Linked DNA regions of Ovis aries. The protein of the gene in region 1 interacts with the protein of each later gene in a pairwise test. Links are inferred from orthologs where the notes say so. Each region holds a gene or a part of one and is shown on either strand. Other genes may lie near its edges. The genes, in order: SYCE1, WASHC3, LMNA and BFSP2.

What was found.
Region 2: the proteins of SYCE1 (region 1) and WASHC3 interact in binary tests that used the Homo sapiens proteins (3 or more experiments, as listed by UniProt). The two-hybrid records come from large-scale screens. The link is inferred for Ovis aries from reciprocal best matches to the Homo sapiens genes SYCE1 and WASHC3.
Region 3: the proteins of SYCE1 (region 1) and LMNA interact in binary tests that used the Homo sapiens proteins (3 or more experiments, as listed by UniProt). The link is inferred for Ovis aries from reciprocal best matches to the Homo sapiens genes SYCE1 and LMNA.
Region 4: the proteins of SYCE1 (region 1) and BFSP2 interact in binary tests that used the Homo sapiens proteins (3 or more experiments, as listed by UniProt). The two-hybrid records come from large-scale screens. The link is inferred for Ovis aries from reciprocal best matches to the Homo sapiens genes SYCE1 and BFSP2.

Annotation. Positions count from the first base shown.
Region 1 is NC_056075.1:51,475,457-51,481,646, forward strand, and holds the start of SYCE1 (synaptonemal complex central element protein 1), read right to left. Parts: upstream 3,422-6,190; 5' UTR 3,382-3,421; coding exon 3,312-3,381; intron 1-3,311. UniProt on the Homo sapiens protein: Major component of the transverse central element of synaptonemal complexes (SCS), formed between homologous chromosomes during meiotic prophase. Requires SYCP1 in order to be incorporated into the central element.
Region 2 is NC_056056.1:171,452,188-171,457,617, reverse strand, and holds part of WASHC3 (WASH complex subunit 3), read left to right. Parts: coding exon 1-7; intron 8-2,126; coding exon 2,127-2,234; intron 2,235-5,430. UniProt on the Homo sapiens protein: Acts as a component of the WASH core complex that functions as a nucleation-promoting factor (NPF) at the surface of endosomes, where it recruits and activates the Arp2/3 complex to induce actin polymerization, playing a key role in the fission of tubules that serve as transport intermediates during endosome sorting.
Region 3 is NC_056054.1:106,135,118-106,141,136, forward strand, and holds the start of LMNA (lamin), read left to right. Parts: upstream 1-2,200; 5' UTR 2,201-2,409; coding exon 2,410-2,765; intron 2,766-6,019.
Region 4 is NC_056054.1:256,587,995-256,593,424, reverse strand, and holds the end of BFSP2 (phakinin), read left to right. Parts: intron 1-1,280; coding exon 1,281-1,501; intron 1,502-3,742; coding exon 3,743-3,746; 3' UTR 3,747-4,026; downstream 4,027-5,430.

The DNA.
Region 1 (6,190 bases):
GGTAAAGCTGAGTAAGTCTGATAATGCCTTGTGTTTATTACAATGCAGAGAAACAGGCACTAATGCACACTGACGGACTGTGAAAACTAATGGAAACTTTTGGAGGACAGGTTGGCTACATCAACATTTTCAAGACAAAATTTCACTTCTATGAATTTCCCCATCAGATATGCTTGGTTACATATCTATGTCAAAAATGGGAAACTTGAATGCCCAGCAGTAGAGAACTTATGATTCAAGCTCACAAGAGAATACTGTGCAGTCATTGAAAAGGAGGTAGATTTATGTGTAATAACAATGAAAGAGAACCTAGATAGACTGAAAGAAAAGAAAGGACAAAACAGTACAATATAGAATCCCATCTGGCTGCAGAGAGAGGTGAAAAAAATATTTTGTCTGTCTAAAAATATATGTGTCTTATTTCTAGAAAATTTCTGGCTCAAGTCACACAAAAATATTTTCAACAGTAGTTCTTCTGGAGAGTAGAAGTGGAAGGATAGGTAAGAGAATGTTTACTTTTCACTGTATACTTCTGCATATGGTTTTACGTTTAAATGTTGACCAAAATGACCCAAAAATGAATTTATAGTTTTCTTGAGCAATCATTTGTCCAGGTATTATTAATAGACTAGGCAGTGAGCTGCACCTTTATTTTTTTCTTTATTGCATATTAAAAGGTAAGGCACAGAGTGGGAAAGCAGAATATATCTGTTGAACAAGTCAACTAATATATTGTTAATAAAAAAAATCAAGGGTACCACTGCCTATGTTATTATATGAGCCCCCTTTTTTACTTATTTTAAAAAATTTCAAATTTACTTAAAAGTTGCAGAAATAGAACACACAGCTCTATATGCCATTCACCCCAGTTTTACATTTGCTAATAATCATAAACTTTAAGAATAAGTTGCAGATACAATTCGTCATTGCCCTCAAATACCCCAGTGTGAAGTTCTGAAGTACAAGGACATGCTCCTGTGTAGTAACAACAGTACAACAATTAAAACAGAGACTAGCAGTGAGAGATATTAACATGTGATCATCAAGTGGTACTTTAAAAATGTCTCCTACTTTCACTTTTATAAATTAAAAGTTCCACAAGTATCAGTTACATAGTCCTAGTAGAAAAAAACAAATATTAAGGTTAAAAACGTTCCTTCACCTTTGCATTGCCCTTAGAAACTAGATTGGAGAAGGCAATGGCAATCCACTCCAGCACTCTTCCCTGGAAAAGCTCATGGACAGAGGAGCCTGGTGGGCTGCAGTCCTTAGGGTTGCCAAGAGTCGGACACGACTGAGTGGCTTCACTTTCCCTTTTCACTTTTATGCACTGGAGAAGGAAATGGCAACCCACTCCAGTGTTCTGGCCTGGAGAATCCTGGGGATGGGGGAGCCTGGGGGGCTGCCGTCTATGGGGTCACACAGAATTGGACACGACTGAAGCGACTGAGCAGCAGCAGAAACTAGATCCCTCCATCAGAGTCATCAATTAGGAAAGCAGCCTCCAGACATCTTTCTGTGCAAACTACACAGTATTGCAATTTTTCTATCTTGCTTTACTCTCATAAAAATGTTTTGAAGATCATATTGTATCTGTATGTCTAATACTTTCAACGTTGACTTGGTTAAGTGTATTTTAATTCTACTTCCTCTTCATTTTAGAAATCCACTGCACAGGTATATCCCAGTGTGCATGGGATTTAGCTATTCCCTTCCCAAGTTTTCCTACCACCATTTAAGCTCCAGTCACTATCCGATCCATGCATCTATGTATGTCTTGGGTGATCCTATAGGAATGTGACCCAAAAGGGGAAAAGATAATTAAAATGTTAAAATTTGTGCCAGAAGGACTACTGCAAAGCCTTCACCCTTTCTTCCTCTCGTCAGAGTATGACATGGTCTGTATCTTTACACCACCGTTAGGGCTAGATAGCACCACTGCCCCCTTTTTAGAAAAAACCCAGTAGACTGAGAATGGAACCTTGATGTCTCATTTTCTCTCACTGCTGTAGGATGAATGTTTGTGTCCCTCCATTTTTCATTTGTTGACATCCTAAAGTCTGATGAGATGGTATCAGAGGGTGGGGCCTATGGGAGGTGATTAGGTCATGAGGCTAGAGCCCTAATGAATGAGATTAGCACCTTATAAGAGACCCCAGAGAGCTCCCTTGCCCATTCTGCTGACACAGATGGACATCTAAGATTCAAGAAACTGGTCCTCACCACAGGCAAGAAATGGTGTTTCACCAGTTATAAGACACTGGTGAAGTCAACTGCATCTAAATATGCAAGCTTAATGAACTTGAAACAAAGATACTAAGAGGTTTCTTTAGCACAGTGGCGAACACAGTAGGTGCTTAAGAAAAGAGATCTATATACATCTGTTCTGTTTTTCTTTTTGTTCTTAGCTGAGGATTGTTACTGAATGCCACTCCTCCCTGCTCCAAGCAAGCTTTCTGTGCTAAGTTTATTTCAGTATTTAAACCTTCATTTTATTTATTAAAGAAAAGCCACAAAGCACCTGTCATGTACCAAAACTGCACTACTGCCTGCAGCTGCGACGGACATGGCCAAGACGGGTTCATGAGAGCATCTCAACACGGGGAGACAGGGAGGCCACGCAGAGCAGAGGCAAGCTGAGGGATGCGTGTTCCTTGCACAGTTCTCTCCCCTTTTGTGTTAACACCCAGGAGCATGTCCTTCGGGGGTGGACAAGCCTGGGAATATTTTTTATCTTTCTTCTCTCTGCTAGGCTGTTATTTCAGAAAACTTTATAACTGTAATGAGCTGCCATGCCTCTCCTTTCCCGGTGAGGTGGGAGCCACTGTTCAATAGGTCAGAGTCAGGAAGAAAAAAAACGTAACGCTCTGCGGGGCGGTCTGGATCCTGGTTTGGGGGAGGGGGAATCTACTGTTGAGGACCATCATGGAACAACAGGGAAATTCAGGGGTTCGGTGCTGTGAGATGAGAGAAATGGGACAGACTCCTTCCCTCGGGTGACACGGGCCGAGAACAAGTCCCTTTCTGTTGCAGGAGATGCCTGTGGGACGCTCAGGATCAGACTGAAAGGATGCCCTCTGCCTACTTTAACCTACTCAAGCACAGCAGATGGGGCCAAAGGAAGTGAGTGCACGTGGGGCACGGGCCTTCTGTGAGTCCACCCGGCAGAGCCGCCAAGATCCTTCCCATGGGGCTGATGGCCATTTTTCCTCACGCCCGCCCCGACTCTGAGGAAGAGGCGCCCGCGTGCGCTCCCTGCCTGCCCAGCCCTCAACAGCCGTGGTCGGGGCCGCCGCCAGGCCCAGCTCTACCTCTGGCCTCGTCAGTCGGGCCCACGGCTCCCGCCGCTTCCGCACTCGACGATCCCGGCCGCCCAGCCATGTCCTCTCAGCTCGCCGGCGCCGGCGCCTCCTCTGGGATTGGACGGAAGCCGCGCCAGGGGCGGGGCGTCCTCAGCACGCCTGCGCAGTGCACCTCTGCGCCGTACGTACCCTCCTTCCAGCCGGCAGCTGGGGTGGCGGTTGGGCAAGCGGCGGTGCGCGCGCTTGAGTCCACCCAGAACAGATTCCGTGCAGAGCAGGTGTGGGGGGCGCGCACGGATCTTCCAGGCTGGCGATTGGCTGGTTGAGGAGCTGGCGACCTGCTAATGACAGAGGTCTCACGAGGGACTGCCCCATGTGGCGTCGCCCACCTTGCGAGGAGGGCACCTGAACCTGGTGGTGGGGAGCCGAGTCTCTGCACATGTTGAGAGGTTGGCAGTTAACCCAAGGACTCTGGCTTTCTGGATGGAGGCCATAAATTGCCCTCCCCACCCCCTTATTGCAAAATTCAGACTTAAATTGAAGAAAGTCGGGAAAACCACTAGACCATTCAGCTATGAGCTCAATTGGATCCCTTACGATTATGCAGTGGAAGTAACAAATAGATTCAAGGGGTTAGATCTGATAGAGTGCCTGAAGAACTGTGGACAGAGGTTCCTGACATTGTACAGGAGGCAGTGATCAAGACCATCTCCAAGAAAAAGAAATGCAAAAGGGAAAAGTGGTTGTCTGAGAGGCTTTACAAATAGCTGAGAAAAGAAGAGAAGCAAAAGGCAAAGGAGAATAGAAAAGATATACCCCTCTGAATGCAGAGTTCCAAAGAATAGCAAGGAGAGATAAGAAAGCCTTCCTCAGGGATCAATGCAAAGAAATAGAGGAAAACAACAGAATGGGAAAGACTAGAGATCTCTTCAAGAAAATTAGAGATACCAAGGGGACATTTCATGCAAAGATGGGCTCGATAAAGGACAGAAATGGTATGGCCCTAACAGAAGCAGAAGATATTAAGAAGGTGACAAGAATACACAGAAGAACTATACAAAAAAGATTTCTATGACCCAGATAATCATGATGGTGTGATTACTCACCTAGAGCCAGAAATCCTGGATTCTGAAGTCAAGTGGGCCTTAGGAAGCATCGCTATCAACAAAGTGAGTCGAGGTGATGGAATTCCAGCTGAGCTATTTCTAATCCTAAAAGACGATGCTGTTAAAGTGCTGCATTCAATATGCCAGCAAATTTGGAAAACTCAACAGTGGCCACAGGACTGGAAAAGGTCAGCTTTCGTTCCAATCCAAAAGAAAGACAATGCCAAAGAATGTTCAAACTACTGTACAATTGCACTCATCTCACATGCTAGCAAAGTAATGCTCAAAATTTTCCAAGTGAGGCTTCAACAGTACGTGAACTGAGAACTTCCAAATGTTCAAGCTGGATTTAGAAAAGGCAGAGAAACCAGATATCAAGTTGTCAACATCTGCTGGATCTTAGCAAAAGCAAGAGAGTTCCAGAAAAACATTGACTTCTGCTTTATTGACTATGCCAAAGCGTTTGACTGTGTGGAACACAACAAACTGAAAAATTCTTCAGAGAAGGAAATACCAGACCACCTAATCTGCCTCCTGAGAAATGTGTATGCAGGTCAGGAAGCAACAGTTAGAACTGGACATTGAACAACAGACTGGTTCCGAAGAGGGAAAGGAGTACGTCAAGGCTGTATATTGTCACCCTGCTCATTTAGCTTATATGCAGAGTACATCATGGGAAATGCTGGGCTGGATGAAGCACAAGCTGGAATCAAGATTGCTGGGAGAAATATCAATAACCTCAGATATGCAGATGACACCACCCTTATGGTGGAAAGCAAAGAGGAACTGAGGAGCTTTTTGATGAAAGTGAAAGAGGAGAGTGAAAAGCTAGCTTAAAACTCAACATTCAGAAAAGTAAGATCATGGCATCCAGTCCTATCACTTCATGGCAAATAAATGGGGACACAATGCAAACAGTGACAGACTTTATTCTCTTGGGCTCCAAAATCACTGCAGATGGTGGCTGCCTTCCTTGGAAGAAAAGCTATGACCAACCTAGGCAGCATATTAAAAAGCAGAGACATTACTTTGCTGACAAAAGTCTGTCTAGATAAAGCCATGGTTTTTACAGTGGTCATGAATGGATGTGAGAGTTGGACCATAAAGAAAGCAGAGCACTGAAGAATTGATGCTTCTGAGCTGTGGTCTTGGAGAAGACTCTTGAGAGTCCCTTGGACTGCAAGGAGATCCAACCAGTCCATCCTAAAGGAAATCAGTCCTGAATATTCATTGGAAGGACTGATGCTGAAGCTGAAGTTCCAATACTTTGGCTACCTGATGTGAAGAACTGACTCATTGGAAAAGACCCTGATCCTGGGGAAGATTGAAGGCAGGAGGAGAAGTGGATGTCAGAGGATGAGATGATTGGATGGTATCTCTGACTCGATGCACATGAGTTTGAGCAAGCTGTGGGAGTTGGTGATGGATGGGGAAGCCTGGCGTGCCGCAGTCCATGGGGTCACATTGTCCTCCTCAAGTGAGCGAGTGAACTGAACCGAACCGAACCTACAGATGCTAGAATCCTCCATAGGATAGTGTTGCAGGAATTGGGATGTGTCTCGGGGATCAAGGTAAGGGGGATGAAGTAATATGACACAAGCCTTGAGTGTTTCTTCTGGAATATTCCTCTCTAATTGGCAATCTAGGAATAGGATTTTCCCTAGACTCTACTTGCCCAAGGAAACAGAATTGGGCCTGAAGAAATGCTGCTGCCTTGTGGCCACTTCCTATAACAAAAACTTAAAAATCAGTGCCAGTGGGCTCTTACTACTCTGAAGCCCT
Region 2 (5,430 bases), on another chromosome or scaffold:
TGCAAAGGTTTGTATTTCTGAATAATTTATAGGATAAACTTGCTGTACATATAGCAACTTTCTCAGTTGCATTTAACTTTAATTGTATTTAGGAATGAATTCAATTTAGCTCCTGCATCCATGATGTGGTGCAGTGCTTTCATTTGTTTAATTTATTATAATTGCAAAGGAAATAATCTTCATTATGAACCAGTAACTGAGTCTGTTTAAATATACACGTGGGTCAAGGTTTCTTTCATTATTTAATCAGAAACATAATGAGTAACATGTTAACAAATTGAATGTTGTATAGTTTGCTTCATTTAATGGAAAACTCACAATTATCTTAATAGTAGTCATTGATAACACAGGAAAAAGTTCTGTAAAACTTTACATGTCTCCAGAACAAAATTTGGAGAAAATCTCAGCTATTTTCCATTTGTAAATATATTAAATGCTAGTGAGTAGTACCAGTTCTGATGTCAGATATCACAAAAGGTAACTGTCATATAAAAGCAAAAATAGAAGGTTGTTTCAGTTTGAAAGCTTGCAGGTTTTGTGTGCTTTTCTTGTATATAAAATAATGGAGATGCTAATATATTTTTGTGACTTTGTTCTGTTATCAAAAAAAACTGACCTGAAAAAATATTTATTGACTATTTATAATCCATGGGCTTGCCAAGAGTTGGACACGACTGAGTGACTGAACTGAACTGAAGGAAGTGAAATTACTAATATCTTCTAGCATAGGGATCAGAATGTCTGATTTATGCTTTTACATCTTCCTGTGGTCTTCAGCTACTGTATTTCCCTCGGAACATTTCTTTAGCTTGTAATTTAGGATATTTGGCCTTGAACATGTTCAAAATAGTTTCTTAGCAGCCATACCCACTTGAAACTATTAGGGCCATAGCCAATGTGCTAAATACTGTCATCAGTCAACAGTTTTCAATGAATATTGTTGCTTTAGATCTTATTGCCATTGTTTTTTTCATTATTCTTTATTATGAATATGTATATTATTTTAATGTTTGTGGAATTCTTAAGTTAGAGTCCACGGTCACAAGTTAAGTTGCCATGTGGACAGGTTAACCTTAATTATTTCCATGACCATAGAGTTAATTCCTTAAAGTTAGCCAAACATTTGACAGATGTGTGTCACTGATACCAGAATGAAATCAGAAAAGAATGTTTGCATGGATCTTGGAAATCCAACCTAAAATGCTTAACCACTGACATCATGCTCATTTTTTATGTATGGAAACTAACACATTGTAGTAACATAAAGTGATATTACTAAAGAAAGAAGAAAAGAATAAGCTGCATCATATGTTAACATGTGGCAAGAGTTTTCTCATTTCCCAGATTATTCAAACTTAAAATGTGCTACAGAGCACATTTTGAAGGGGAACAAAATATATTTAATCAAAATCTTTTTACAAATTTGGGATGTAAGTTTTCTTATCCCCCACTGTACAGGTGAGAAAATTGAGGCCTAGGAAGATTTGCACAGGGTTACATATGTTGTCGGAGAAGGCAGTGGCACCCCACTCCAGTACTCTTGCCTGGAAAATCCATGGACAGAGGAGCCTGGTAGGCTGCAGTCCATGGGGTCGCCAAGAGTCGGGCACGACTGAGCGACTTCACTTTCACTTTTTACTTTCATGCATTGGAGAAGGAAGTGGCAATCCACTCCAGTGTTCTTGCCTGGAGAATCTCAGGGATGGGGAAGCCTGGTGGGCTGCCATCTATGGGGTCGCACAGAGTCGGACATGACTGAAGCGACTTAGCAGCAGCAGCAGCAACATATGTTGTGACTTAAACCTTGGCAATCTGACTCCAAAGCCCATGCTCTCATTCCTTACACCAGGATTCCTTATTAAAAAAATAATAATTCCTGAGAAAGAATGGTGACAACCTAAATTAGATTAGTGAAAAATTCTTCAAAAATATTTTATTTGTCAATCCCTTTCACTTTTAAGTAGTTTATGGCATGGAGAATTTCAACCAAAGATGAGATTTTATGAAACCACTTCTATAGCTTTAAAACTTAAGAAAACTATTTGAAACACAACACATACTTAGAAACTTACTCTTTAAAGATCTAATATTATCCTCATATACCAACATTAATTTTCTCCTCTCAGTTATCATCTATCCCGGGCCTAGATGATGTCACATTTGAAGTATCTCCTGTAAATGTCACTAGGATCACAAATGGAACACATTCTGAAGCCACTTCAGAGCAATCACAGGTATGTAATTAAGTTCCGGGAAGCATGAGCACCTCTTCTTGGGTGAACCAGATAGACCAAATCTGCAGGTTCAAATAAAGAAGCTAAATAAAAATATAGCACTTGATTAATAATATTTTAAACTTTAAGATAAAAAATACAGTTTGAAAAAAGTTATTAGCTTTTCATTTTATTATTCTGAACAGTTTCCTGAAGTTAATATTTTTCTTGCCTATAAAACAGAAATTTGACCTATACAGGACTAGGAATAATCTTGACTATAACTACTTTCTTCAAGTTCCCTCTGGAAATTTTTTTCTTGGTTCTTGTAAGAAATGTGTCTTTTAAATGTTTTAGTATGACATTTTCACACATGAATAAAAATAGAATAGTTCAATGACTAACCAAGTGCCCGTTACCTGGATTCACCAGTTGAGATTTTGTTGCATTGCTTCATCTGTCTTTTTTTGTCACTGAAGTGAATTCCAGGCATCATATCTTTTCACCCATGTATAATTCCCTGAGCATCTATGAAAAGTTCTGACATTTTCGTGTATAACCACAATGCCTTCATCATATACAATATAATGAGCAATAATTCCCTGATAATATCTAACTCTTTGTTACCAAAACTCTGCTCCATGGGCCAGCAACCTACCTGAGAACTTGTTAGAAATACAGAATCTCAGGTTCCACCCCAGACCCACTGAGTCAGAATTTTCATTTTAATAAGATCCGTATGTGATTTGAAGGCTCTTGAAATTTGAGAGGTCCTAATCTAAGAAATACCACTTGTCTCAAAGAGTGTGTTTGGGGAGTTGATTTGTTCAAATCAGCGTCCTTGTAAGGCCTGCACTCTATGTTTGGCTCTTATGTTTTAATGTTCATTTATGCACTGTAAAAATTTAAATTGTGTATTACTTTTTATTTCAAGAAATAAAAATTCTTCATTGTAGAATAATTGCTAGTATATCTCAGTGAGGTATTAAAATCCAAAATAAGATAATCAAAAATGGTGGTCTAACAAGTAATACCAAACAAACAGACTTCCTATGTATATGGAATTTTGCATTTGTACCTGGAGGTACTTTTTATGGGATATCTTTTAGATCATTATGATGTTGACTGTGATTGTAATACCTCCCATGTAAAGGTTTCTGACTGTATATGTGGTGTGTTAAGTGCTTTTTATAAATTAACTCATTTAATTCTCACAACAGCCCTATGAAGTAAATACTTTTATAAGTTCTATTAATACTTTACAGGTATATCAAATGAGATACACAGAGGTTAACTTGTTGAAGGTCAGACAATAAATGTAAGAACTAGAATTTTTACCCAAACAATCTGGTGTCAAGAATCCTATCTCTTATCTCCTACACTGCACTGTCTCTAGCACCTGTGTTGAATTCATAAAACATAACTCACTCCATATTCTTGCATGGAAAATTTCATGGACAGAGGAGTCTGGCGGGCTATAGTCCATGGGATCACAAAAAGTCGGCCACAACTGAGCAACTGAGCACATGTGGTCCAAGGCTCTGTGTGGGAGGAGCTATAATTTAGAAATATTGTATATTCGGTGGATGAATTAGATGACTGTTTACTTAACAGTTAGGCCTTCCCTGATAGCTCAGTTGTAAAGAATCCACCTGCAGTGCAGGAGACCCCAGTTTGATTCCTGGGTTGGGAAGATCTCCTGGAGATGGGAAAGGCTACCCACTCCAGAATTCTGGCCTAGAGATTTCCATGGACTTCTCTGGCCTAGAGAGGTCTATGGGGTTACAAAGAGTCAGACATGACTGAATGACTTTTGCTTCACTTCGCTTTACTTAACAATTAGGTATTAGAAAATTTAACATCCATTTAATTAATATAACAAATTCCATTGTGATGATCACTGGAATATATATAATATACAAAAATAAATTCAAATGTTTAGAGGAGTTTTAACTTTACAAGGTTTTATCAATTAAAGATAAACCATCCTTTTTCTAAAACAAGGCATATGTAAAAGCTATTACATGTTTCCATTCTACCTAGTAGGTATTCTTTGGTGGATACTAGCCATTATTATATTTCTATAAATTTATAAAATGATATCTGACTTTCAGTATTAACTTTTCCAGGTGTTACTGTGCACGCCCATATATAATATGTATTTAAAACTTGTACAATTGTGTTGGTCTTGCCTATTTAAAGTCTCAAAAAATTGATTAATCACAACTGAATATCTAAAATTCAGAATTACTTGATATTCTGGCAATTTTATTGAAAAATAGTTATTAATTCATTGGAGGATTTATGAAGTACTGTTGGCTTCCTGAATTTAAAAAATATGGTAAAGTTGTGTATTGATTGGCTTAATATAACTGTTCAGTATGTTCTTAATATTGAAATCAACTCTTTATTTCTCTCCATTGTTTTTAATTGGTATATTTTATATAAAATATTTTGAAATGGACTGAAGTATTGCTTAACACAGAATTTCCATTGACATTACAGTCAACTTGCTTATCAGTTAAAAGATAATCATGAACTTTTTTTTAAGTCATCCATTCATTGCAATCTCCAATCTATATATGAGTCAAAGACCCAAGGTTTGCATACTGATTTTTCTGCACCTTTAATTTCATGGTTCAGATCTTATCATTACTCACAGTAGAACATCTAATTGTACAGATTGAGATTAATTTCAGAATAAAATGAAGGACAGTTGAGAGATACGATAGAAGATTTAATGGGTCATACAAATAGCAAAGGTGTAAGACCTGATATAATTAAACCTTGTTGAGGTCTTGGTTATTAGGCTGAAGTTAAAGGCTGAGTTTTAAAATCTAGTGGTCTTATATGTAATTACCATTTGCTCCATTGTGCTATTGTATGAGTTTATTGTCCTTATTTTTTTAAAAGCATACATGGGTCTTGTTGAAATTTTTTGTTTAATTAAATGTTTTCAATGTTTTGTAATTAATGCATTGTACAGATGAATGTGTATATGTATATACATATTTACACACACACACATATATGCAGTTTTGTACACTTGACACTGTCATATAACTGGAGTAACCTAAAGAATTTGGGGATATTTTACTTGCTTCAGCATTTAAAAGAGATTTAATCTATATTTGAATTATCTGGGGGAAAACCTTAACATATAATTTATATTCTAATAGCTATGAATACTGAAAGATATTTTTTTATTTATTTGTAC
Region 3 (6,019 bases), on another chromosome or scaffold:
GACCTGGCCTTCCCTGCCTTCTGCTTTTGCTGGGACTGACCATCTACACCCTGGCAGGGGAAGAGCAGATGATGACATCTGGGGTTCAGAGTTAGGCCTGAATATTTAGGGTAAAGGCCCACTTTGAAGTTCAGGTTTAGGACTGAGGCCATTGTGGTAGTGGTGGTGGTGAACCCTTTGGAAAGAGAGAAACTTAGGGTGAGAATCCCCTCTCCTTTATCCTGCCTCTTTTCCCAAAGATGGGGAGGTCTGAGAGAGGAAGGCTTAAGTGTGATTTTGCCTCCCCAGCCAGGAGGGGAAGTCAGGCCAGGCCAGGCAGGGACTGGGTGGGGCAGAGGCCGGAGAGCCCTCTGGAGGGGGGCTGAGGCAGTGGGAACAGCCACTGTCCCTCACGTTTCACTGGCTCATTCACCCCACCTCTCATTCTGACTTGGGGAACACAAGAGGGAGAAACAGGGAAAGACTTTCTGTTTTGTCTGGGAAGCTGAAGGTGGGTGCCCCACCCTGAGGGAGGGGGCTGCAGGGAGGGGAACCATATCGCGGGTCCCCCAACTCTGAGTATCCTGGATGCTCACCACCCTGCCCAGTCAACCCCTGGAGATGGAAACCTGCCATCCCTCAGGGAGTGTTTCTCTCCCTGAACACTCAGAGTCCCTGCCTTAATCCTGCCCCAGCTCCAGAACAGAAGACCTGTCCAGCCCTGTTTCTCTGTGTATCCTGATATCCTGGAGCTGTAGGAGTTAGCAACATAATTTAATTTCCCCAGTTCCTCATCAGAGACTAAGCCATGAGAGGCCCAGGGTCAGGGCAGGAAAGCACATGGGTTCTGGAGCCTCAGCCTCTGCCACCTCTTAGAGGTGATGAGATGAGATGGTTGGTGGGGCCGGGGCCCGGATGGGAATGGGGAGTAGGAGGCTGATTAAAGGGGTCTCCCGAGAGTCCTGAGGATGGAAGCTCAGGGACGTGGATGATCCTGTTTTGTGAGAGGGCCTGGCCCCTCCCCGGAGCCAGTGGCAAAGCAGACCTGGTCAGAGAGGAATGTGGAGATAAGTGCGGTGCTGGCCCAGCAGTCAGCAAGGCTATGGGCGCCTTTGCTGTCTTCACCCCCATCACCCCCCTTTTCTGGCTGAAACCAGGATAGAGACCCAAAATTGGCTGTCCAGCCCCCAGCCCTGCTCCCCCTTTCAGGCCCCTTTGGGAACCACAAAAATTTGGGACCTGGTGTCCTGGCAATGTGATGAACGCATGCACAGCTCTGGTATCTGTTTTAAATTATCCATTAAAATAAGTACAGTCCTGGAAAAAAAAATAAGTACAGTTCTGGGGTTGGTGGGCTGGGCTGGGCTGGGCTGAGGACTAGAAAGGGACCAAAGCTGGGAGGAACCTCAGGCAGGCTCTTTTTCTGACTGCTGGGGTCCAAAGGAAGGGGATGGGGTGGGCAGTACTTGGGTCCTATTCTTGACCTTTTCTGGGGCCTCGGGGTTGTTCTTTGGGTCTACGATCCAATGGTTGATTTCAAAGGGAGATTAAACTGGGGCAGAAAATAGGAAAAGAATAACCCCAAACTCTGGTCCCCACCCTGAATTTGAGGGTGTAAAAGGAACTCAGGATCCAGAACTTTGTGGCAGCTCTCCCTCCAACCACCCCAGGGAACCCAGGCATATTTCCCCACCCCACCCTGGCATACTGAGATGTGGCTTTGAATGGACTGCCCACTCATGGAGGTGGGGGGTGGGGGAGTAGGGGTGACTCACTATTACTATGGGGAGGAAAAGGGGGGCCAGTGGTGGAAGAGTGAGTCACCCTCATGGGCACCAGCCTCAGCCTCCCCCCACTTTCCTGGATCTGCCTGCCTGGCGCCCTCCCTTGCTTTGTGCCTACTGCCCCTCTTCCCCCTGCCCTTTGCCCACCCAGCCTCACCCCTTGGCTCTGCCCATTTCCCCCTCTAAGGCCAAAGGCAGTGGGGGCAAGCTTTTAGCTTGGATCGCTGAGCAGGTAGAGACCTAGAGACGAGCTTCAGGGAAGCCCCAGGCACGTGGGGGTGCCTGAGGGAGGGTGGGGCCCTACCCCGGGGCTGTCGTCTCCCCTGCTCACCCCTCCCTCTCCCACCCCTGTGGGTTAGCGACGGCCCCTTTAAGAGAGTGGCCCCTCCTCCCATTCCCTAGACCTATTAGAGCCTTTGCCCGGGAGCCGGTGACTCAGAGTGTTCGCGGGAGCTCCGCATCCACACCGGCCAACCGAGATCCAGAGGTCTGACAGCGCCCGGCCCAGATCCACAAGCCTGCCAGGAGCCAGCCGAGAGCCAGCCGGCCGGCGCGCTCCTACCCCAGCAGTCTCTGTCCTTCGGCCTGAGCCCCGCGTCCTTCCCGGGACCTCTGCCCCTCGGGCAGTGCTGCCACCCTGCCGGCCATGGAGACCCCGTCCCAGCGGCGCGCCACCCGCAGCGGGGCGCAGGCCAGCTCCACCCCGCTGTCACCCACCCGCATCACCCGGCTGCAGGAGAAGGAGGACCTACAGGAGCTCAATGACCGCTTGGCTGTCTACATCGACCGGGTGCGCTCGCTGGAAACGGAGAATGCAGGTCTGCGCCTTCGCATCACTGAGTCTGAGGAGGTGGTCAGCCGCGAGGTGTCTGGCATAAAGGCCGCCTACGAAGCCGAGCTGGGGGATGCCCGCAAGACCCTCGACTCGGTGGCCAAGGAGCGCGCCCGCCTGCAGCTGGAGCTGAGCAAAGTGCGAGAGGAGTTCAAGGAGCTCAAGGCGCGGTGAGTGCCCCAGGTGGCGGCGTGGGGCCGGGAGGGGCAGTGAGGGCAGAGGGACTGCCGCCCCTGCCTGGGCTCCAGGCCGTTGGTAACGTTGCCGTATAGTTTCCTCCCTCCCGGAACTGCCCCCAGCGAGTGCCTGGCAGTGCCAAGGGAAATTGTCAAGACAGGACTGAGAAGGGAGAGGTCTCTGGGAGAGGGTGGGGTATATAAGGAATGGCGGGGTTCATCAGGGCCAAGTAGGAGCTGGTGGCAGGCCCGCAATCTGTCAGGGTGGGATTTGCCAGTCATTTGGGGCCTGAGAGAGGGCCTTGAGCAAAGCCGAACTGGCCTTGCCAGGTCTAAGACATCTAGGCGCCCAAGACACTTAGGAGTGGGTGAGAGGGTCCTGTTGGAACTTTCTTGGCAGCCTTGGCACCGTGCCAACCTTGCCCAGCCTGTCTCTGAAGACATGACTCCCACTAAAACAGAGCTCCTAGGCTGGGAGATGTCTAGTGGTGCCAGAGAGAGGTCACCAAAGCCGGGTGACCCCCTTTTCCCCCTGCAGGGGCACAGCGATGGCCCCCACTGCACAACCCTTTCCCAGGCTCTTGTTAAGAGTTTTGAAGTGCTCCTTTACTCCCTGCATGTCTGGGACTTCCCCTGGCCTCTGACAGGCCCACCGATCAACTCTAGGAGAGCCGCTCCCCCGCAGCTCCCACAGCCCTTGGCCTGCTTGGCCCAGGAATGCAAGGGAGGGAGGGAGACGGAGGGCAGAGGCTCCCGGCTCAGGAAGTTGTGTTATGTATGCCCAGGTCTGTACCTCCCCTTCCCCATCTCCCCACCCTCACCCTCTGCCTAGTCCCTCCCTGCCTCCCTTCTTGGGGTGAGCCACTTTCATTTTCCCGGCCAAGCCTAGCAGCCTCTGCTCTGGCCGGCCCTCTCAGCCACTGGGACATTTTTTTTGTTATTGTTCTTTGCCTTATTAAACTCCTGGAATACTGTGACATTTTTGAAATCCAGCCGTTGGAAGACTCAGGCCCCTCCTACCTTACCCATCCCTGCCCCACCCTACCGCACCCTACTTGTCTCCTCCCTCTTCTCTGAAAAGGCCTTTGGAGCTGGGAAGTTTAGGCCCTCTTCAGCTCCCCAAGGATTTGTTTTCTGAGAAGACCTCAGCCAGAGAGCACTAAGGTGCTTGGAGACCCCTGGCTGAGGCTGTAGTGGTTGGTCTTCTCTTCTTCCCCTTTGCGTCGTCTTCTCCAGGCTCATGCTCTTCTCAGAAGCGCTGTGAATTTGCTACTCTTTATACCCCTTCGCTAGCCCCCAGCCCCTGGCATGGTGGGTGTGGCAGATGTATCATCCCCTAGTGAAGAGTAGATGGAAATGGTGTGGGTAGGCAGGTGACTCTCCCCCCCACCACCCCCCGCACCCCCAAGCCCAGGCTTGCCAGGGGTCAGTTCCCTGATCAGACCAGGGATCCAAAGCCAGGAATCCTAACCATTAGGCCACCAGGGAACTCAGAGTGACTATTTCTGTTGAAAGGGATCATTCCTGTCATTGTCCACTAGTGATATGAATAACTTAGTTAACAGGGCAGACAAGAGGCAAGCTAGGGGAGTCCCAGAGAATTAGTCTTCCAAACTAGCTTACCCAGCTACCGAACTACTACCTTGCGGGTCCCTGCCAAGGGCATTCTTAGCAGGTCTTTTTCTGGGGAAGGTTTTGACCAGGGAACAGAACGAGTGGAGTCTATGGTCTCTCGCTAACCCAGCCACACCAGTCTGTCTCTGCCTCCTGGTGCAGCTGTCCCGGTCTGGGACACCAGGCGGGTGTGTGCGCACGTGGGACAGGGCCGGGGGTGGTGTGTGTACTTGTTATATTTAGCTGCCTGCCTCTCCTCTCCCCCACTGATCCTGGCTGGGGGTGCTGGGCTTCCGGGAGAGGGGGGGTGGTTTTGCACACCTGGATCCTAGGCTGATAGGAGGTTGGGCGGAGACAAAGAGGGCTCACTTGAGGTTTCTGTCCCCTTCTATGTCCCCAGTGGGAGGAGCAAGGATTTGTTGCTCCCTTTTGTGTCTGCTTTGCTCAGGGTGAGGTGAAGAACGCCATGAAGAATTTGGGAGAGGAAGAAAGGCATTGTCCTAACTCCTCCCACTAAAGCCTAGAGAGAAGGTGTTGTCTGGTTTAATGTTTAATTAGAGCTCAGAGTTCAGGGCCAGGCTTTGGGTTGGGATGCAGAGCTGTCTGTAAGGTTTTGTGGCGATTCCTGGCCCAGCCTGGGTACCTTGACCACACCCAGGGCTTTGGGGCCCCCTCTCATCAGACTGGGTTACAGGCTCCAAGCAGAAACACTGCTCCTGCCTGCAAACACAGACTCACATCCTTTATTCTGGAGCCCAGGGGTTTTGAACACCTACTCGCGGGAAGAAAGAGGAGGTTAAAAGCATCAGAGAAGGCTGGCCTGGGGTCGAAGCTTGGAGTTAGGCCCCATCCCAGGCAGGACAGCTGGGTGGATGACTCAGATACTGCCCCCCTCCCTCCCACCCCAGTGGCTTTGCAAGAGACAGGGTGGAGGCAGCAGATGTCTTAAAGGGAGGGGTGGGGGCCTGAGTGTCTGCATCCCTGCTCGCTGCTCCCCACTGCATCCTGGGCTCCTTTTCTGCCTTCTTCCTTAGGTGGTGGTCTGGAACCAGGGCTCCTGACAGACCGTGTACACAAGTAGTTCTAAAGCAGAGTCCAGAGTTACAGGCTTGGGCTGCGGGTTGGTGCGAGGGTCTGTGTCTTCCCAAACGGAACTGGTAGAGGAAGGCTGAGTCAGAAGTGGGGAGATCCCAGACCCACAAAGCAGAAGCATCCCTTTCCCCCGAACAAGGCCTTGGGTGCCCGACAACTTCCTGAATTGCCCGCCTTACATGATGGCCTCAGTCAGAACACGGAGGGACCTGCAGGCCCAGGTTCTTCCAAGCTCTCATCAGGATAAGAACAGGGAAAACCAGAGAGGTGCGAAGGCTTGTCCCGTGTCACACAGCCAATGAATGACAGGCCTGGACTTGAGCACACGTCTTTTGACTCTCATTTGAGTGCTCCTACCATTAAACCTTGGGCTTCCCAGGTGGCGCTAGTGGTAAAGGACTTGCCTGCCAATGTGGGAGACATAAGAGATGCCAGTTCGATTCCTGGGTCGGGAAGATCCCCTGGAGGAGGGCATGGCAACCCACTCCAGTATTCTTGCCTGGAGGATCCCCATGGACAGAGGAGCCTGGAGGCTACAGTCC
Region 4 (5,430 bases), on another chromosome or scaffold:
GTGGCTGGAGCAGAGGGGGCACAAATGGGAAAATGTTTCAGAATATACAAGAGGCAGGTCTCTGATAATTGAATTTTGGAGGGAAGCAGGGTCAGGGGCATATCTTTCCCTGGTTTCTAGCTCCTCTTGAGTTCACCAGCTGGAGCACAGGAAAGGAGGGGCCAGCAGGTTTGGAAGGAAGCCAATGGCTTCATTTTGAACACCTTGATTTGAGGTGCCCACAACCTGTGTATATTTCTAGGAAGAACCTCAGTAGCAAGTCTGCATGGGTGGGGAGACATCTGTGCTGGACACATCAACACAGGAGTGACCAAGTCGTGAGTCTGGTAGAGACCAACCGGTGCGGCTCAGCTCAGAGAGAGACGGGCTAAGGGTAGGGCGGAGCGGCCACTGGGAAAGAACTAGCACAGTGTGCTACCCAAACACTAAGGAAAGACACGCCGAGGGTATAGAGACCAGAGACACTATTTCTGACTGTGGAATGTGGGAAGTGTGCAGGAGGAGACAGCCTCCCAGCAGGACAGTAAGTAGGGGTTCACAGAGGAAGGAAGGGGCCCAGAGCGTGAGCAGTCAGGAGCAAAAGGGCTTGGAGGCAGTTCAGAGAGAAGACTGCAAAATTTCTTTGAAGAAACACCTACAGACTGCCTCCTCTGTGTGTGTGTGTGTGTGTGTGTGTATTTCTCTCTCCTTTCGTGTGTGTGTATTTCTCTCTCCTTTTGTGTGTGTGTGTGTGTTTCTCTCTCCTTTCGTGTGTGTGTGTATTTCTCTCTCCTTTTGTGTGTGTGTGTGTGTGTGTATTTCTCTCTCCTTTCGTGTGTGTGTATTTCTCTCTCCTTTTGTGTGTGTGTGTGTGTTTCTCTCTCCTTTTGTGTGTGTGTATTTCTCTCTCCTTTCATGTGTGTGTGTGTGTGTCTGTGTGTCTGTGTATTTCTCTCTCCTTTCCTCTCTCTCCTTCTCTCACTCATCTCCCTCTATTTTCTCTCATCATTCTTTCTCCTAGGCCCTCCCTTCTGGTCTTCCTCCCCTCTTTTTCTTCCTCCTCTCCCTCTCCACCTCCGCCCCCATAGGAAGGATCAGTGAATTAGACTAAACAAGACTCTGGCCTCCCCCAGGAGGATTCATTACTTCCCCAATGAGCTACCTCCTTCGGTCAAGGTAATCGTCCTGGGAGAAACGGACAGACCAGGCCAAGGCCAGTCCCTCCCACTGCTCTGCCCACTTCCCTCTTCCCAGGGCCTGTCCATCGGCCTCAGGCTTGGCCTGCGTTCCCTCTCTTGTAGAAGCGAGGCCTGGAGAACACGCTGCACGACGCCAAGCACTGGCATGACATCGAGCTGCAGAACCTGGGAGCGGTGGTCAGCAGGCTGGAGGCGGAGCTCAGAGAGATGCGCGCGGAGGCGGAGCAGCAGCTGCAGGCCCGGGAGCACCTGCTGTCGCACAAATGCCAGCTGCAGCGGGACGTGGCATCCTACCACGCGCTGCTGGACCGCGAGGAGAGCAGGTGCGTCTCTGCTCAGCTTTGTTAGGAGAGGGGTAGGTACTCATAGGTTTCGATTAAACATTTTCTCAAATACTATTGAAGTAAGTAATGTAAAAAGGAGAAATCACCTCCCAGCACACCCCCTCAACTCCCACAGCCTGACTGTCCTCCCAGGATTTTTCCATTCATATGTACATAGTTTTTGTCTTCCCTGGTGGCTCAGTGGTAAAGAATCCACCTGCCAAGGAGGAGACAAGTGTTGGATCCCTGGGTGGGCAAGATCTCCTGGAGAAGGAAATGGCAACCAACTCCAGAATTCTTGCCTGGAAAATCCCATGGACAGAGGAGACTGGGGGTACAGTCCATGGGTTTGCAAAGAGTCAGACACAACTTAGCAACTAAACAACACAATATATAGATGAATATATAGTATATACTTATGTGTGTATAAATATATGTGTGGATGTCAGTATATATTCATGTATACAGACATATAGACACACACCTATAGACACACCTATATGGTTCACACTTAACTCATACTACATGGTAGCTGTTAGCAATGCTTTCTGCTGCATGTTGCTTCTGCTGCTGCTAAGTCACTTCAGTCGTGTCTGACTCTGTGTGACCCCACAGACGGCAGCCCACCAGTCTCCCCCATACCTGGGATTCTCCAGGCAAGAACACTGGAGTGGGTTGCCATTTCCTTTTCCAATGCTTGAAAGTGAAAAGTGAAAGTGAAGTCGTTCAGTCATGTCTGACTTGTAGCGACCCCATGGACTGCAGCCCACCAGGCTCCTCCATCGATGGGATTTTCCAGGAAAGGGTACTGGAGTGGGGTGCCATTGTATGTAGTAAGTCCTTATTAATGAAGCTATAAACCAACACTCCTGAAACATGCCAAGCCTGGGCATCTTTTTAAAAATGCAAATTCTGCTTCTGTAAGTCTGAGACAGGACCTGAGACTCTGCATTTCTGACAGAACTCTCAGGTGATGCCTGTACTGCTGGTCCACAGACCACACTTTGAGCAGCAAGGGCATAAACCATGTTCACCTGAAAGTTTCAGAAATGAGGTAGGCTAGGCTGCTCATGCGGAGAAGGCAATGGCAACCCGTAAAAGACTTTCTCTTTTATCTCATTAACCAGAGTCTGCTCACATGATTAGACCTACCTGCAAGGGAAGCTGGGAAAGCAACTATTTAGCTTTTCCAGCCTCCATAGTGGACAGAGGTGAGAGGTTGGGAATAACATGTGTAAGTCAATGTACATATATATGTGTATGTGGTATATATACATTTATGTGTCTATGTGGTACATATACTTATATAACACACATATATTCATGTGTGGTATATATACATATACACCATGCACGTATATATGCATCTAGCAGTACTTTTTTAATGGGTAAGGACACCCTGAAGCATAGGCATGAGGCTTGGGGCTCAGCTTCCTTGCCAATTCTTTAAGGAAATTCAAGCCTTTCTTTCATCATAATTCTGTATCTTCATGCCCTCCAAGGTCCATTCTATGGCACACATTGAATGAGAAATAGAATAGCAGGGCTAAGAGATGACTTGTTGATTATGTAGTACAATGGCTTATGATTCCAGAGAGAATAAGAAGTCCAGAGCAGAAAAAGATTTTCCCATGGTCCCACGGGGTGGCAGAGCTGGATCCCAGGTGTCCTGGCTCTCACTGTGGTCTGTGCCATCCCCTTCTTAGAAGGTGAGAAGGCCAGGAAGCAACCTAACACTCACTCCTTTCAAACGAAAAACATGGCATCCAGCTCCTGTTTCCATCTGTCTTTTTATTGGAGTGATTTCTGTTGATTATGAAAGCTAGATGTTTGTAACAACGCTAATTTTTTCAGGTGCGTATGAATAACTGAAACACAAAAGTAACAAGACAGGTTAAATTTACTTCAAGAACTCCATCCAGTGAGTGCCTGCTATGTGCCAGCACAGTCTCAAGCTCTACGCTATCTTCATTTCCCCTCAAAACTCTGCCAGAACCACATCATTATCCCCATTTTACAGACAGGAAACAAAATCAAAGACAGCTTAAGTCATTTACCCAAGGTCACACAGCTAATAACCATGGAGGTAGGAGTTGAAACTCAAACTGTCTTGTTCCAAAGGCCAAATTCTTTCTGTGAAACATCTACCTTTCCTATAATCCTATTGTGATGTTTTTACTAATTTTCATCATCCATGGCTTTTCTCACTCAGATGTGTTTTTGGGGTTTTGTTTGTTTCAGCTAATGGAGAAATGCCCATTTTTCATGAAGAAAATGCTGGCTTCCTCACCAAGTGACCAATGAAGTTCCCTGAGGAATTCCCACCCCCACCCCCTTATACCCCCAGCCCCCATCTCCCCTCATCCTTCCCACTCCCCACCCCAAGCTGGATTTCCTGGTTGGTTCAGCTTGAGCTGAAAAGCTTCCTGGAAGAGGAGAGGGTCCTGCTGCCTCAATTCAAGTAGTCTGTAGCTCGAGCAACCTCCCTTGCCCCTCTCAAATAAATGCTTTGTGTGTGGCTTCCAGTCTGCCCACCTTGTTCAACCCACTATCAGATAGAGATGGATATCACATTACCTACCTGGCCTTCCCTCATGGGGCCATTCTTAAAGGCTTCTAGAAGGGTCCTGGAGCATGATGCCATCTTCCTCATTATTCAAGGGTCAGCTGCTCATGGGTTTATCAACATAAATGTGCTTCTGGGGTGAGAGTTGTGCTCAGCATACCAGATTGCCACCATTGGGGGGAAAAAACAATATTCTTGCTAGAGGGGGTCAGCATGTAGCGTGATCACAGAGCATTCAGGTGTCTTTAGTGTGCTCTGCATGAATAGTTATACGCAGACACCCACATTTCACTGCTGTTGGCAGAGCACCTCTCTCAATCAGTTTAAAGGGAACTTCAGTTTAAATCTGTGGGAGACGAATTAGGTTGTGATTGTGGCTGCCTACACTTGCAGCCTCAGAACATTCTTCCAGGGTCCTTCCCCAGCCCTCTCAGGGCTCAGGCCAGCCAAATATAGTTCATGAATCTGCTGCCTACCCATTCGAGACGCCCCTGCCTTCTGATTAAAACTGAAACCACCACCTGTGTCCTAGCACAGGCTCTCAGTGCCTCCAAAACCACACACACACACAGCCCAGACTTAATTTCTTAATTCCTCCCCCAAGCTCCTATCAGCACACCTGTCACACAGAATTACAGACCAAAGTTAAAAAATGATCCAAGCTGAGTCTCTGTCCTCACATAAGCAGCTAATCCAGACAGGGCAGTGTGTCCAACATGGGCACATTTGAAGACCCCCTCCTTCAGTTCCTGGGCTTCCAAATAGCCAAGGTCAACATAAACAAATGGAATCTTATTTACCTTTAAGAAAGTTAGAAAGAGAAGTGAGATAAGACATGGGGGATCGCCTGGTTGAAATCACTCCAACTGGTTTCCCTTTTGGCTCCCAGGATCAAAGGAATTGTATTACTAAGTCAGGTGGGCAGGACAGCTATTTAGTTTGCATGGCATATTTGCATGATTCCCTTTGTTGTCTGAAGCACAGAAATAGTCAAGACACCACCTACAGCTGCATTTCAGAAAGCACCAATCCCCTCCATAGCTGCACACCCAGGGGTGCCCGTGACTGAAGCCACGGGTACCAGGGCCTCCCCAGAAGAGTGTGCAGCCAACTTTATAGAATGCCCGTTCACTGGGCTCTGCTTTTCTTTTTTACTTATTATGGTGAATTTTTGTTCCCCAGCCATGATCTAAATCCCTAACTTAAACACAGCTGGAGAGCCTCAGAAGGCCGGCCATCAGAATGAGGTACTTCTGGATCTGAATGGCTGCGCATTTCCCAGAACCTGGAAGCGAGGGGAGAATGGATTTGTACACCCTCCTGAGCTTCCAGCAGACAGCACACTGTGCCGGCTGCACACACT